3 linked regions of the Macaca mulatta genome follow. The protein of the gene in region 1 interacts with the protein of each later gene in a pairwise test. Links are inferred from orthologs where the notes say so. Each region holds a gene or a part of one and is shown in the gene's direction. Other genes may lie near its edges.

Region 1 (4,260 bases):
GAGGTCCCAGAAGCCAAGAATTGAGGCTGAGGCTGCATAAACGTGAGATCTCATGCTAGGAATCAGGAGCTAGGAGTCAGTCTCCAGGTGTCAAAACCAGGCTCTTTCGTCTCCTCCTCCTCCGCTTGTGGTGACAGAGGGTCCCTTCCTGCTGATTATTTTCAGATGTGGGTGCAAATCTGAATCAATGTAGAGACATCAGCAATCCACTGGCAGAGCATCAGGTGAATTGAGCAGGTAGGCAGAGTTGGAGAATAGGTACGAGTGAGTCCTGGGAGGAATGTTCCTAGGGGCAGATGGAGAAATTGGGTAGAGGCCCTTTAATAAACACAGAAAGGCTTTATGTGGGAGTTGAGGATTCCAGCAGGTGAAGGGGAACCCCCCCGCTGAAAATCCTGGAACAGGTTGAATAGAGGAACAGGGCAGGTGGGAGCAGGGATGTGAGAGAGGAATAGGAGGCCAAGGGCGGGGGGTAGGGGGGGAAACCAGACTATGCCTGCATTTTCCCCCACCCCCAGGGAGAAACTGCAACCAGTTTTACAGGACACTCCTGGCCTTGCCCGAGATCAATGACCCCATTCAGAGAGGGTTGATGGCACTATGCAGCAATGCCGGCAGCCAAGGGGTTAACCTTAGGCCAGATGGCTCTGGGGTGGTGCGAGGGGGTGGGCCACCACCCCCTCCGGTTGCCTTGGCACCACTGTAGGCGCCTGCTCTGCCGCTGGGAACTTCCGCAGAGCCCAGGGCCCTTCGCTGCCAGTCTGCTCCCCACTCTCTGTCCCAAGTGGTTCCAGGCGCTGGACCCTTAGGCTTCGTCTGGAGTCCCATCCTCCACCCCAGGAGAGGTTGGCTCGGCCTGGCTGGTGCAGGCGGGTCCAGCCCAGGCACAGACACGCAGATGCAGTCTCTAGGGCTGCTCCTTAGCCTCCTGGGTTAGCAGCCCGGAGCCACCTGCGCTCCCTGCACGCAGCCCCCACCTCGCCGAGAAAGCCGGGGCTGAACGGGTAGGGGGCGGGGAGGGGACGAGGGTCACGGAGGTGAGGACCTCCTTTCCCCCAGCGGCAGGGGGAGATCAGAGACACCACGGAGCACAGGTCAGAAACAAGGGAGTAGAGAGGTCGGAGCCAGAGACTCGAGGCAGGGAGGAGCGAGGAGTCTCGGGCCCAGAGTGTGGGGGTGGAGGGCAGGCCCCCTGCTTCTCCTTCCAATCTCTGCTTCTCCCGGGAACCCCCTCCGCCCTCCCTGGGGCCCCGGCTCTTCCCCTCCCCCCAGACCCTGCACCCTCTGCGGATTGGTCCTCGGCCTGCTGGGGGGCGGGGCCCGAGGGCCCTGACGTCACTGGCCGAGGGGGGCGGGCGGCTGGAGGAGGGGCTGACGGGGCCCGGCTCAGCACCTCGGAGAGCTCCCTCCCCGGCCTTGTTTTGCTCTGGCATCGCTGCCGGGGGAGGGAGCGAGGGGGCCGGGCACCAGGCGCAGAGGCAGGGGAATGGCCATGGAAGGGTTGAGGGGCCGCGGCGGACAGAGGGCCCAGCCGTGATCCAGCGACGGGTTTGGGGCTCCGGGTGGGGTGGGGGGCAGCGGGCGGCGGCAGCAGTGGCCGCACATCTGGATGGAAGCGAGCTTTGTCCAGACCACCATGGCTCTGGGGCTGTCCTCCAAGAAAGCATCCTCTCGCAATGTGGCTGTGGAGCGTAAGAACCTGATCACCGTATGCAGGTGGGCACCGCTGGCGGGCGGGGGCTGGGGTGATCAGAGAGAGGGGTTGGGGTGGACTGCGGAAACCCGGACGGAGCGCTGCCGCGGAGAAAAGGGAGGGGAGCAAAGAGTCGAGAATAATGCGTCCACTGTCCCTCCCAGGCCCAGAACCCAGAGAGGGAGCTGCAGTCTGGTCCCTACCCTTCTAGGCCAAGTGGCCTATGCCGGGGCCTGGGCCTGAGGGGTGAGGGGTGTTTAATTGGTACTGCAGCTTCCTGTGAGAACCAGGAAGTGACATTGTGTGAGGGGGAAGGAGGTGGGGATGGCTGGCTCCCTTGCTGGGAGTGGGGCGGGATGGGCAGAGGGGACCCCATGGGGGGATGAATGCCCTCCAAGCATACCCTCATTGGCACCCATGTCAAACTGACCCTCTGGGGTGGGGTTCTCCAATGCTCAGATTCTGGAGCAGGGATGGGCAGGGTCAACTGGGCATGGGGGCAGAGCCCATGAATCCCTCCAGGGAAGGGAGAGGGGCACCGCCCAAGACGTGGGAAGGACCAAGAGCCTGGGTTCCAGGTTATAGGGGAGAAGACCGGGAGGGCACGGCCACTGGTCTCTGAGGGTGAACGGTTCCTGGGTTGGGAAGATTCTCCGCTATTGTGGGGCCCAGGAAGTGATCCTGTCCACTTCAAACCTGCAGTGACTCACCCTCCCTGCCCTGTCCCAAAACCAGGGCATGGCCAGCTGCTCAGCCACTCCCCCTGCAGCCCACACCTGCACTCTCCTCTGGTGCTGGGATCCCCTGTCAGCTGCAACCTCCTCTGGCCTCCATGCCTATCAGGTGTTGCTCCCTCAGGGCAGGGTGCTCCTGGGGACAGGGCTCACTCTTCCCTTGCCAGCCCCACCTGCCTGCCACGTAGGCCTCAGCTCTGCTGAAGCCCACCTGATACCCTGAGGCCCACTAGTGCCCACCTGATGCCCTGGCTCCTGGCTCCCATAGCTCCTTCCAGGTTCCTGGGCACACACCCAACCACACTGCATCTGTCTCCCAGCATCATATCCCTAGTGCCCAGCACAGTGCTGTGCACATCAGACCTCTGCAGAAATGCCTGGAACGTTAAGGAAGAAGAGAGTGTAGCAATGGCCCAGCCCACAGTGCAGGGCACTGCCTCTACCCTCATTCCCCCCAACCCCTACCAGTGTGTTGTAAAACAAAGATTTCTGTCTTTGGGGCCAGATGGTCCGAGGTTCAAGCTCTTACTCCATCAGCTTTAGCTGCGCAACCTTGAGGAGGTCTCTTAACCACTCTGGGCCTTGGGTGCCCCATCATCCTCATTTTAGATGTCACAGTCATACCAAAGAATGATAATGGCATCATCCATGTAGGAGCCTAGCTCAGTGTCTGGCACACAGAAAGAACCCTTTCCTAATGACGTTCTTCCTGGCCCTCTCTGCTCTCTACCTGCTAGGTTCCTCTTTTTTCTCTTGCCTGCCAAGTTAGCTGAGCCTCTTGAGTACGTGAGGGGAATGAGGGAACTCTCCTTGACATAGGCCAGAGAAGAAGAAGTTGAAGGGCTGAAGGTGGCTTAGAACTGGGAGGGAAGGATAGAGTTTTGGGGGGTCAGTGATGTGACAAAGGCTTAGTAACCCCTAGGCCCCTGCTGCCTCATCACTGTCACATGGTTTGCCTCCAGCTCCCAGAACAGCTCCCTTTAGCAGGCCGTGGGCTCCCCTGGGCCCTGGCCTCGCTGTCTCCATGGTAACCTGCAGCAGCCACTGCATCTCCTATCAGAGAGCACACCACGGGGCTCCCGGGGGCAATGACCACCTCTGTGGCACCCCTGAGGACAGATACCAGATGGTTGCCATGCTGAACCCAGTCCAGGCCCCATCATTGTCTGACCCAGATGACCAGGAGAAATCAAGCTGGCAGGAGGGTGGGCATAGTGAAGCTGGGATAATGCCCCAACCACAGGCTTGCTTTCAGCAGGGCCAGCCTTCCCAGCCACAGCCCCGCTCCTTACCATCCCTGCCCAGCAGCCCTAGGCACCTACCATCTCCCAACCCTTCCTGGGCTCTCAACCAAAATGTAATGAGGCAGGTACGATTGTTCCCATTTGCATTTGGCAAGAGGGGACTCAGAGAGGGGCCCAAGGCCACATGAGTGTCACAGGGAAACAGGATTTGAATCCAGCAGGCTGCCTCCCTCTAGTGCAACCCCAAGACTGACCTGGCTCTGATCTCAGGCCAGATCAACTCTAAGTTCAAAAGGAAGGGGGACAACGGCTCAGCTGTGCAATTGGCCTGAGAGCCGCAGAGGTCAGTGCTCCAGGGCTGGAGACTTGTGGTGCAGAGGACAAAGGGCGGTGGAGCAGGGGCTGCTCCAGGCCTAGGTCTTCACGATAGCTGCCAGGAGGCCACAGATGTAGCAGAAAGAGCAGAGTCTTCAGAATCAGAATCAGACATACCTGCTTGACTCCTCATAAGCCATGTAGCTCTGAACAGATCAGTCAACCTCTTGGACCATCAATTTCTTTATCTGTAAAATGGGGATGAGAGTGATAA
Region 2 (3,651 bases), on another chromosome or scaffold:
AGACTCAAGAGGTAAAGTAGTTAGAAAACTAAGAAATAGTAATGGAGCCTGAACTAGGGTAGAGACTAGAATGGGAATCAATCAGACAGTAGATATTTATTGTGTCCTGTGTACGAGGCATTGTGCTGCTAATTGGTAGACATAACGGCAAGGAATGAGGAGGATACGGTGCTTGCACTTTGGTTACATGTATACAGTCTACCTTGGAGACAGATATTCGGTAAAACAACTATAGCAAAAATAGGTGCTATGAAAGCACCCAACTGATGTATCACAGTTGGGAGAGGTGTCTTAGAAGGCTTATGAGGGTCTTATTTTAGCTGAGACCTGATGGCTTCCATGAGGATAAAAGACAGTGTATAAACACACATATATACATGCATGTATACTACATACTCTTAAGTATTTTACATGCATATGTAGGTACTCTTCCATCAGCTGAACTGACTTAACCTACTTACTAAGACTGGTGTGTTTTTAATTCTGATAAATTAAGCACTGCAATGGCCCTCTTCAACCTGATCATAAAATTGGAAAAATACAAAATGCAGATTGATATCAAATAGTATTTTAGATCAAGATCTTCATGTTCTGGTGCACTCCCTCCATCTCTTTTATCTGAAATTCAGTGTCTATATATATAGACATATACACACACACACTATATATAGTATATAGCTCCAGAGAGTGCCCCCACAGTTTATAGCACAAACATACACAATGCCCCTCAGTTTTATTTATGTTTTTCCTGAGATTATACTTATTACTGATGCTCCTTATAGTAGGTTTACTTTTTTAAAAATTTTATTTCAATAGCTTTTGGGGTACATGTGGGGTTTTTTTTGTTGCATGGATGAATAATATAGTGGTGAATTCTGAGATTTTAGCTCATAGCTTAGCTCCCACTTATAAATGAGAACATAAGATTTTTGGTTTTCCACTCCTGCATTATTTCACTTAGAATAATGGCCTCCAGTTTCATCCAAGTTGCTGCAAAAGACATTATTTTCTTCCTTTTAGTGGCTGAGTAGTATTCCATGGTTTATATATACCAGATTTACTTTATCCACTCATTAGTTGACGGGCACTTAGGTTGGTTCCTAAGTGAACTGTGAATTGTGCTGCTATAAATATATCTGTGCAAGTGTCTTTTTCATATGTCTTCTTTATACAAAGAAAGCTTTATACAAAGGTTTCCTTTGTATAACCATTATATAGTTGTCCCTTGGTATCCTTGGGAGACTGGTTTTAGGACCCTCCTGGCTGCCAAAATTCAGATTCTCAAGTGTCTTAAATGAAATGGGGTGATATTTTCATATAACCTACGCTTATTATCCCATATACTTTCAGTCATCTCTGGGTTACTGTTAAAAATGTAAATGCTATGTAAATAGGTGTTATACTGTGTTGGTTTTTTCATTTGTATTATTTTTGTATTCTTTTTTATTGTTTGTTTTTTCCCAAATATTTTCTATCCATGGTTTGCTGAATCTGAGGATGTGGGACCTGTGGATATGGAGGGCTGACTTTTAATATACCCTGATATAGAGGGAACATCATAAAACCTTTTTCTCGCTTAGATCGTTACTTGTTGAGCAGCTGGTAAATATAAAGTACTGTTCTAGAAGCTGAAGGATTTCCATAAATGCAGAATGTTACCCTACCCTCAAGGATTTTACAGTCCAGTCGGTGAATGGAATAGGTCGTGCGTAGTACAAGTCAATAGGCACAAACACATGAACAAATCAGACAGTAGGGGTCATAGTATATAAGAGAAAGGTGATCCAGAAATACCAAAAAGTCTCTGTGCAGAGTATGAGTCAACACTGTGTACATAAAACTAAGTTTTTAGGCCCAGTTAATTAACATTGCTGTTTTTACTTTTTCATTAGCATGTTGGCAGATAAATTGAACATGACTCCAGAAGAAGCTGAAAGGTGGATTGTAAATTTGATTAGAAATGCAAGACTGGATGCCAAGATTGATTCTAAATTAGTGAGTATTATGTTAGCTATGCTACATACTATCAGTTCTTGATTATACTTTTGGGAATTCTTAACTAGGACATTTTATTACCTCCTTTAATAATTTATTTTGTTTTAATGTAAAACATTTCTTTGAAGGCAACAAAAGCCTCCTATTTTTTTTCTTACTTGGTAAATATTGTCATCTCTATATAGTGCATTAAAATATGTGCAAAGGTTATGTCATGCTTATTACTCACCTGAGAAACTCTGTCATCCATTATAGGATCAATTTCCCTGTGTTTCCTTTTAGGGTCATGTGGTTATGGGTAACAATGCAGTCTCACCCTATCAGCAAGTGATTGAAAAGACCAAAAGCCTTTCTTTTAGAAGCCAGATGTTGGCCATGAATATTGAGAAGAAACTTAATCAGAATAGCAGGTCAGAGGTAAGAACCACACATTTTCTATTCTGTCTGGGATTTAGCAACCGTGTAATTGTTACATGAAGTTTGGAAGTGTATTGATATGAGTTGTAGCTGATTTTGTTTTTCTCTTTAAAGATATGAACATTTTAAGAAATTACTAAACAAATGAATTTTTTCTTAGATGCATTATTATGTTCCTAGTTTATTATAAGTATTTTTCTTTTGCTTTGACTCTTCAAAAAGAAATTGTGTTCCTAGTTTATTATAACTATTTTCTTTTGCTTTGACTCTTCCTGTGTGACTTCATTAACTCATTTCCTCAGGGTTTTCAACACATCATTTTGATACTGGCAGATGATAACTTACATGTGTAGCCCTCTTTCAAGTGTTCGAAATGTGTATTCTTTCTAAATCTAAAGAAATAGTTCTGTAAAAATGTTGATCTTATTATATGTATTAGTGCTGATCTTATACAAATGTCATTATCTTTCATCTGATATTCACATCAAAAATTAATCTCCCATTTTGGGAGATTAATTCTGCATGTTAGCAATTGAAGAAACTTGAATGGCCTTATAATTTTGGAATCCTAAACTATGTTGTTTACACATTATGATTATGTGTAACTGGAGGGTAGGAAGTCATTAGGAAACAGTTGTGGGATATGCAGAAACCCTATTTGATTGAAGTTTTAGGAACAAATTTGTGTCCGTGGAATAGTCCTTTAGTTCAAAAGGGAAGGATGCATTAGAATTTGAATTGCATATTTTAACCAAGTTTAGAATAACTGAGCCTAGAAAATAACTTTCATATGATGTTTTTTTCTGTATGCTTCAGGATTAATTTGTGTTGTTTATTGTTCCAGTATTAATGATACCGTTATTGCTATACATTTTAATTGACCATATACTATACCAGATAATAATTTTGATGTTTGTTTTGTCCTAAGTGGGACATCTGACATCTAGTAATTGCAGGAGTTAAGATCTTAGAATGGTTTGGCAAGAGTAGTGCTAAAGTAAATGCTGTGTCACTTTCTTGTATGTTAGTTTTTTTCCGAAAGTATTTTCTTTTCACTCTGTTCATTTCTTTTTGCATATTTTAGGCTCCTAATTGGGCAACTCAAGATTCTGGCTTCTACTGAAGAACCATAAAGAAAAGATGAAAAAAGAAAAGAAAAGAAAAGAAAGATGAAATAATAAAACTATTATATAAAGGGTGACTTACATTTTGGAAACAACATATTGAGTATACATTTTG
Region 3 (3,651 bases), on another chromosome or scaffold:
TTTCTTATCTGAGAACTATTAGAACGAACATGATCATTTTTTCAGGCTGGAGTGCAGTGGCATGATACCAGCTCACTGCAACCTCTGCCTCCCTGGTTCAAGCGATTCTCCTGTCTCAGCCTCCTGAGTAGCTGGAACTACAGGCACCTGCTACCATACTCGGCTAATTTTTATATGAACATGATCAATTTTATACACATAGAACATAGTGAAATGCTGATAATTATAAGTTGTTTGCTCATTGGAGTTATTTATTATGTGATCAACTGTGAAATTTTGTGCAACCCTCCCTCAGAATAGAAAAAAAATTAAGAGGATTTAGTCTGAGTTTCTGAGAATAATTTTCCAAGTATATCTGGAAAGATAAATTGATTTTAAAGGATGTATAATTGATTAATTAAAACATCATTTCATAAAACTCATTTTATGATCCACTGTGAGAGCAGCTTCAAATGCCCTCAGATAAGTATCAAGCCAAGTGGTACAAATCATTTTCATGCAACTGAAGATATCATTTATGCTGGAATAGCCGCCCAAAACAAAAATCCACGTGACCTGTTTAACTTTGTGCTATTACAATGTCTGTGTTTTGTGTATTCTCTCATAGGTATGAGAAAGTGCCAGTCATCTTGGTCGGGAACAAAGTGGACCTGGAAAGTGAGAGAGAAGTATCGTCCAATGAAGGCAGAGCACTTGCTGAAGAGTGGGGCTGCCCCTTTATGGAAACTTCCGCTAAGAGTAAAACAATGGTGGACGAACTCTTTGCAGAAATTGTGAGGCAGATGAACTATGCTGCTCAGCCTGACAAAGATGACCCATGCTGTTCTGCATGTAACATACAATAGCATCCAAATATGGCTGTCCTGGATGGGATTTGCCCAATGTCGTAGGTGATAGAAAACTCGCCTACTCCACTGCAGAACTTGCAGGATGCGTGGTGTTAATCTACAGAGAACTGCAGCCCTTATTCAGAATTGAGCAGTGGTTGTCAGTTGATATCTCTGAGTAACATTTGGGTTCAGTAACTACAGTTTTCACCATTTGTCCTCAGTCTCCTTTATGCATCTGCAACTTTAAGGCATAGTCCATCGATCTACAGGGTGATCTCATTTGAAAGCTATGATGGCATTGTCGCTGAGTTGACAGAAGCAACTATTGTATAAATTAAAAATAACCATAAGGGAGAAACCAGAAGAATTCCTATGACCACTTACAATTAAAATATTTTGTCTTCTTTAAAAAAATAAGTAAAGGAGAAATATTTTCCTACAAGAGTACTGAATTTCAGGAATTGGGATAGAGCTTCTAACCAATGTATTTCGTCAAGTAAGATAATAACAGCTGACCTGCCAACAGCATTACAGGGAGAGATTCTTTGCTCAGCTAACACATTTCTGTTTTTCAAAATTGATGCTTAATTGTAGCTGTTACTCTAATTTGTGACATGGAACTAACTCATGCTTCAATCCTTGATAGAGCAAAAGTCAGAACAGGTTATATAAAAATAGTCTGGCTTTAGAATTTGTTAAATCACCTGCTTTGCCACAGAAAATGGAGGCTTTCACAAGGGTTTGATCAGAATTAAAACCCCGACCCCGCCCTCTGTTAACTGAGCAGGGGTGGTCTTTGTAACTTTACTGAACAAGAGGGAAGCAACTGTGATGGGAAGAGATTACCTAGCCTTACTAACAAGAAGCATTCTAATAGATAAACTAGTACCATCATGTAAGGAAAATGAAGCCATGTTGCATCCACATGTTCCTGTTTGCAGAAACCTCACAGGACAGTACGAATATCTGGCATTTTTAAGTTCATTAAAGCAGCAAATTCCTTCTCGCCTTTAAGGGCTATGGTTGTAGTGTAACCTGTGGCTAACCTGCTTTCAAAATCAAGTTTGCTGTAGCAGAGCTTTATTGCAGGCATTTTAAAAATTGAATAACCATGTGAAATAATTTGGGCTTAAAAGTGAACATAAATTATAGAGTGGAAGGTAAGGGACAAAAGCCTTTTATCTTTAATTTTCCTGGAGAATTATATAAAGGTTTTCTTAGAACAATTTTGCCCTGATTACTGAAGTGTCAAATAAAGCTGGAGTGAATATTTTGTTTTGAAAAGGTGCTCAAGCTCTGACATTTTTGGTTTTCATAGCCGTGAAGTATTTATCATTTGCATGACTAATGGCACAGGAAAAACCTATTCATAAGTTTTACAATCAAGTATACAGGGATCTTCAGCTAACTTCAGTTACAAATGCTGAAAAGATTATCTTGAGCTGGGCCTTGGGAGAAGAATTTGGCCTTCAGAACTGCAATATCACTGAGCCTGCGATCTATACACCACCCCACATTTTGTTGGTTTCACAGTGTTGTGCAAGTAACCTCTGGTCTTACGTGTGTCACTGAGAGAAGAGTGTGTGTTTGTGTGTGCATGTGTGTTTATTGTTCTGAAGAATTTGGCACAAGTCAGAGATAATTTGCCTATACTAAGAATCTATACTGCAGAATATAGTGTATCAAAAACTTTTTTCTTTTAAATTATTAAAGTGTCTTTTATACTTTTATGAAATCATTGGTAGCCCCCCAAATGTTTAATAACTGGCATTAAACTTAGAGGATGAAAAAAAAAAAAAGGTTGATAGTATTTTTCATAATGAAAAAGCTGAAGAGATAGGTGAATGAAACCAGGCCATAGTTGTCAAAAATCTTTGAATTTTGAATATTTACATTCTTCAGTATAATTTTTTATAATCCTCAGTTATGAAGCACCTTGTTTATAGGAAAAAATTTTTAACCAATTTTATTGAAACGCATTTCACTGCATAAAAGTTGGTTTGATTCAAACATGTAGAGAAATTGGAGATTCAAGATATATGATTTCTCTACTGAAATAAAAATACTTGTTAGTGAATTGGTTGAGTTTTGATTCCTCTAACTTCTCAGAATGATTCTTTTGAATTCTATAACTAATAGCAATGTTTGACAAATAAAATTGCAAAATAGAAATATCTATAAAGATCCCACAGTTTGACATTATGACTTGCTATGCAGATGTGAAAATAGGTTAAATAATATGAAAGATATGGCAGAATGTAAAGTGGAAAAAATGATCTAAAATTTTGAATTGTATTAATAGTTAAAAACATTTGTGTCAGATGACAAGGTGGGCTTTTACTGTCAAGACATGAATAATAACTGATCTGGCTGCCTGATCAGTGTTTCCACGCAAACCTGCATATTTGGTGACCAAGGCATCAAGGACATCCCGAAACTGGAAATTCCTATCCATCTGGTGTGAATATAACTCAGTTGGCAAATGAATGTGTTTGTTGAGATATTACAGTAATAAAATGCTTAAGAACAGGAAGATTACATTTGTTGGCATATGAAACCTTAGTGGCTACAGAAGAAAGTTGACCTTGTGTCACGATTTATTTTATGCCCTGATCAGACTAGCAACTTAGATAAGTGAAAGTTTTTCTCACATGCCTTAAAAATATTATGGTTTGATCCAAAGACCCACTTTTTCTTTAGCTCTTGTGATAAGATTTTCTTTTTTTTACTTTTATACAAAGGCAGCATCTTTGAATTTTTTTTCTTTTGATGTTGCAACTTTTGGGTTCTTTTAAACTGTGATAGTGATGGTAACTGATGC

Evidence for each region.
Region 2: the proteins of RUNDC3A (region 1) and EIF3E interact in binary tests that used the Homo sapiens proteins (3 or more experiments, as listed by UniProt). The two-hybrid records come from large-scale screens. The link is inferred for Macaca mulatta from reciprocal best matches to the Homo sapiens genes RUNDC3A and EIF3E.
Region 3: the proteins of RUNDC3A (region 1) and RAP2A interact in binary tests that used the Homo sapiens proteins (3 or more experiments, as listed by UniProt). The link is inferred for Macaca mulatta from reciprocal best matches to the Homo sapiens genes RUNDC3A and RAP2A.

The regions. Positions count from the first base shown.
Region 1 is NC_133421.1:68,680,689-68,684,948, forward strand, and holds the start of RUNDC3A (RUN domain-containing protein 3A), read left to right. Parts: upstream 1-1,392; 5' UTR 1,393-1,609; coding exon 1,610-1,716; intron 1,717-4,260. UniProt on the Homo sapiens protein: May act as an effector of RAP2A in neuronal cells.
Region 2 is NC_133413.1:118,454,705-118,458,355, reverse strand, and holds part of EIF3E (eukaryotic translation initiation factor 3 subunit E), read left to right. Parts: intron 1-1,892; coding exon 1,893-1,995; intron 1,996-2,277; coding exon 2,278-2,412; intron 2,413-3,496; coding exon 3,497-3,535; 3' UTR 3,536-3,651. UniProt on the Homo sapiens protein: Component of the eukaryotic translation initiation factor 3 (eIF-3) complex, which is required for several steps in the initiation of protein synthesis.
Region 3 is NC_133422.1:92,209,145-92,212,795, forward strand, and holds part of RAP2A (ras-related protein Rap-2a), read left to right. Parts: intron 1-607; coding exon 608-845; 3' UTR 846-3,651. UniProt on the Homo sapiens protein: Small GTP-binding protein which cycles between a GDP-bound inactive and a GTP-bound active form. In its active form interacts with and regulates several effectors including MAP4K4, MINK1 and TNIK.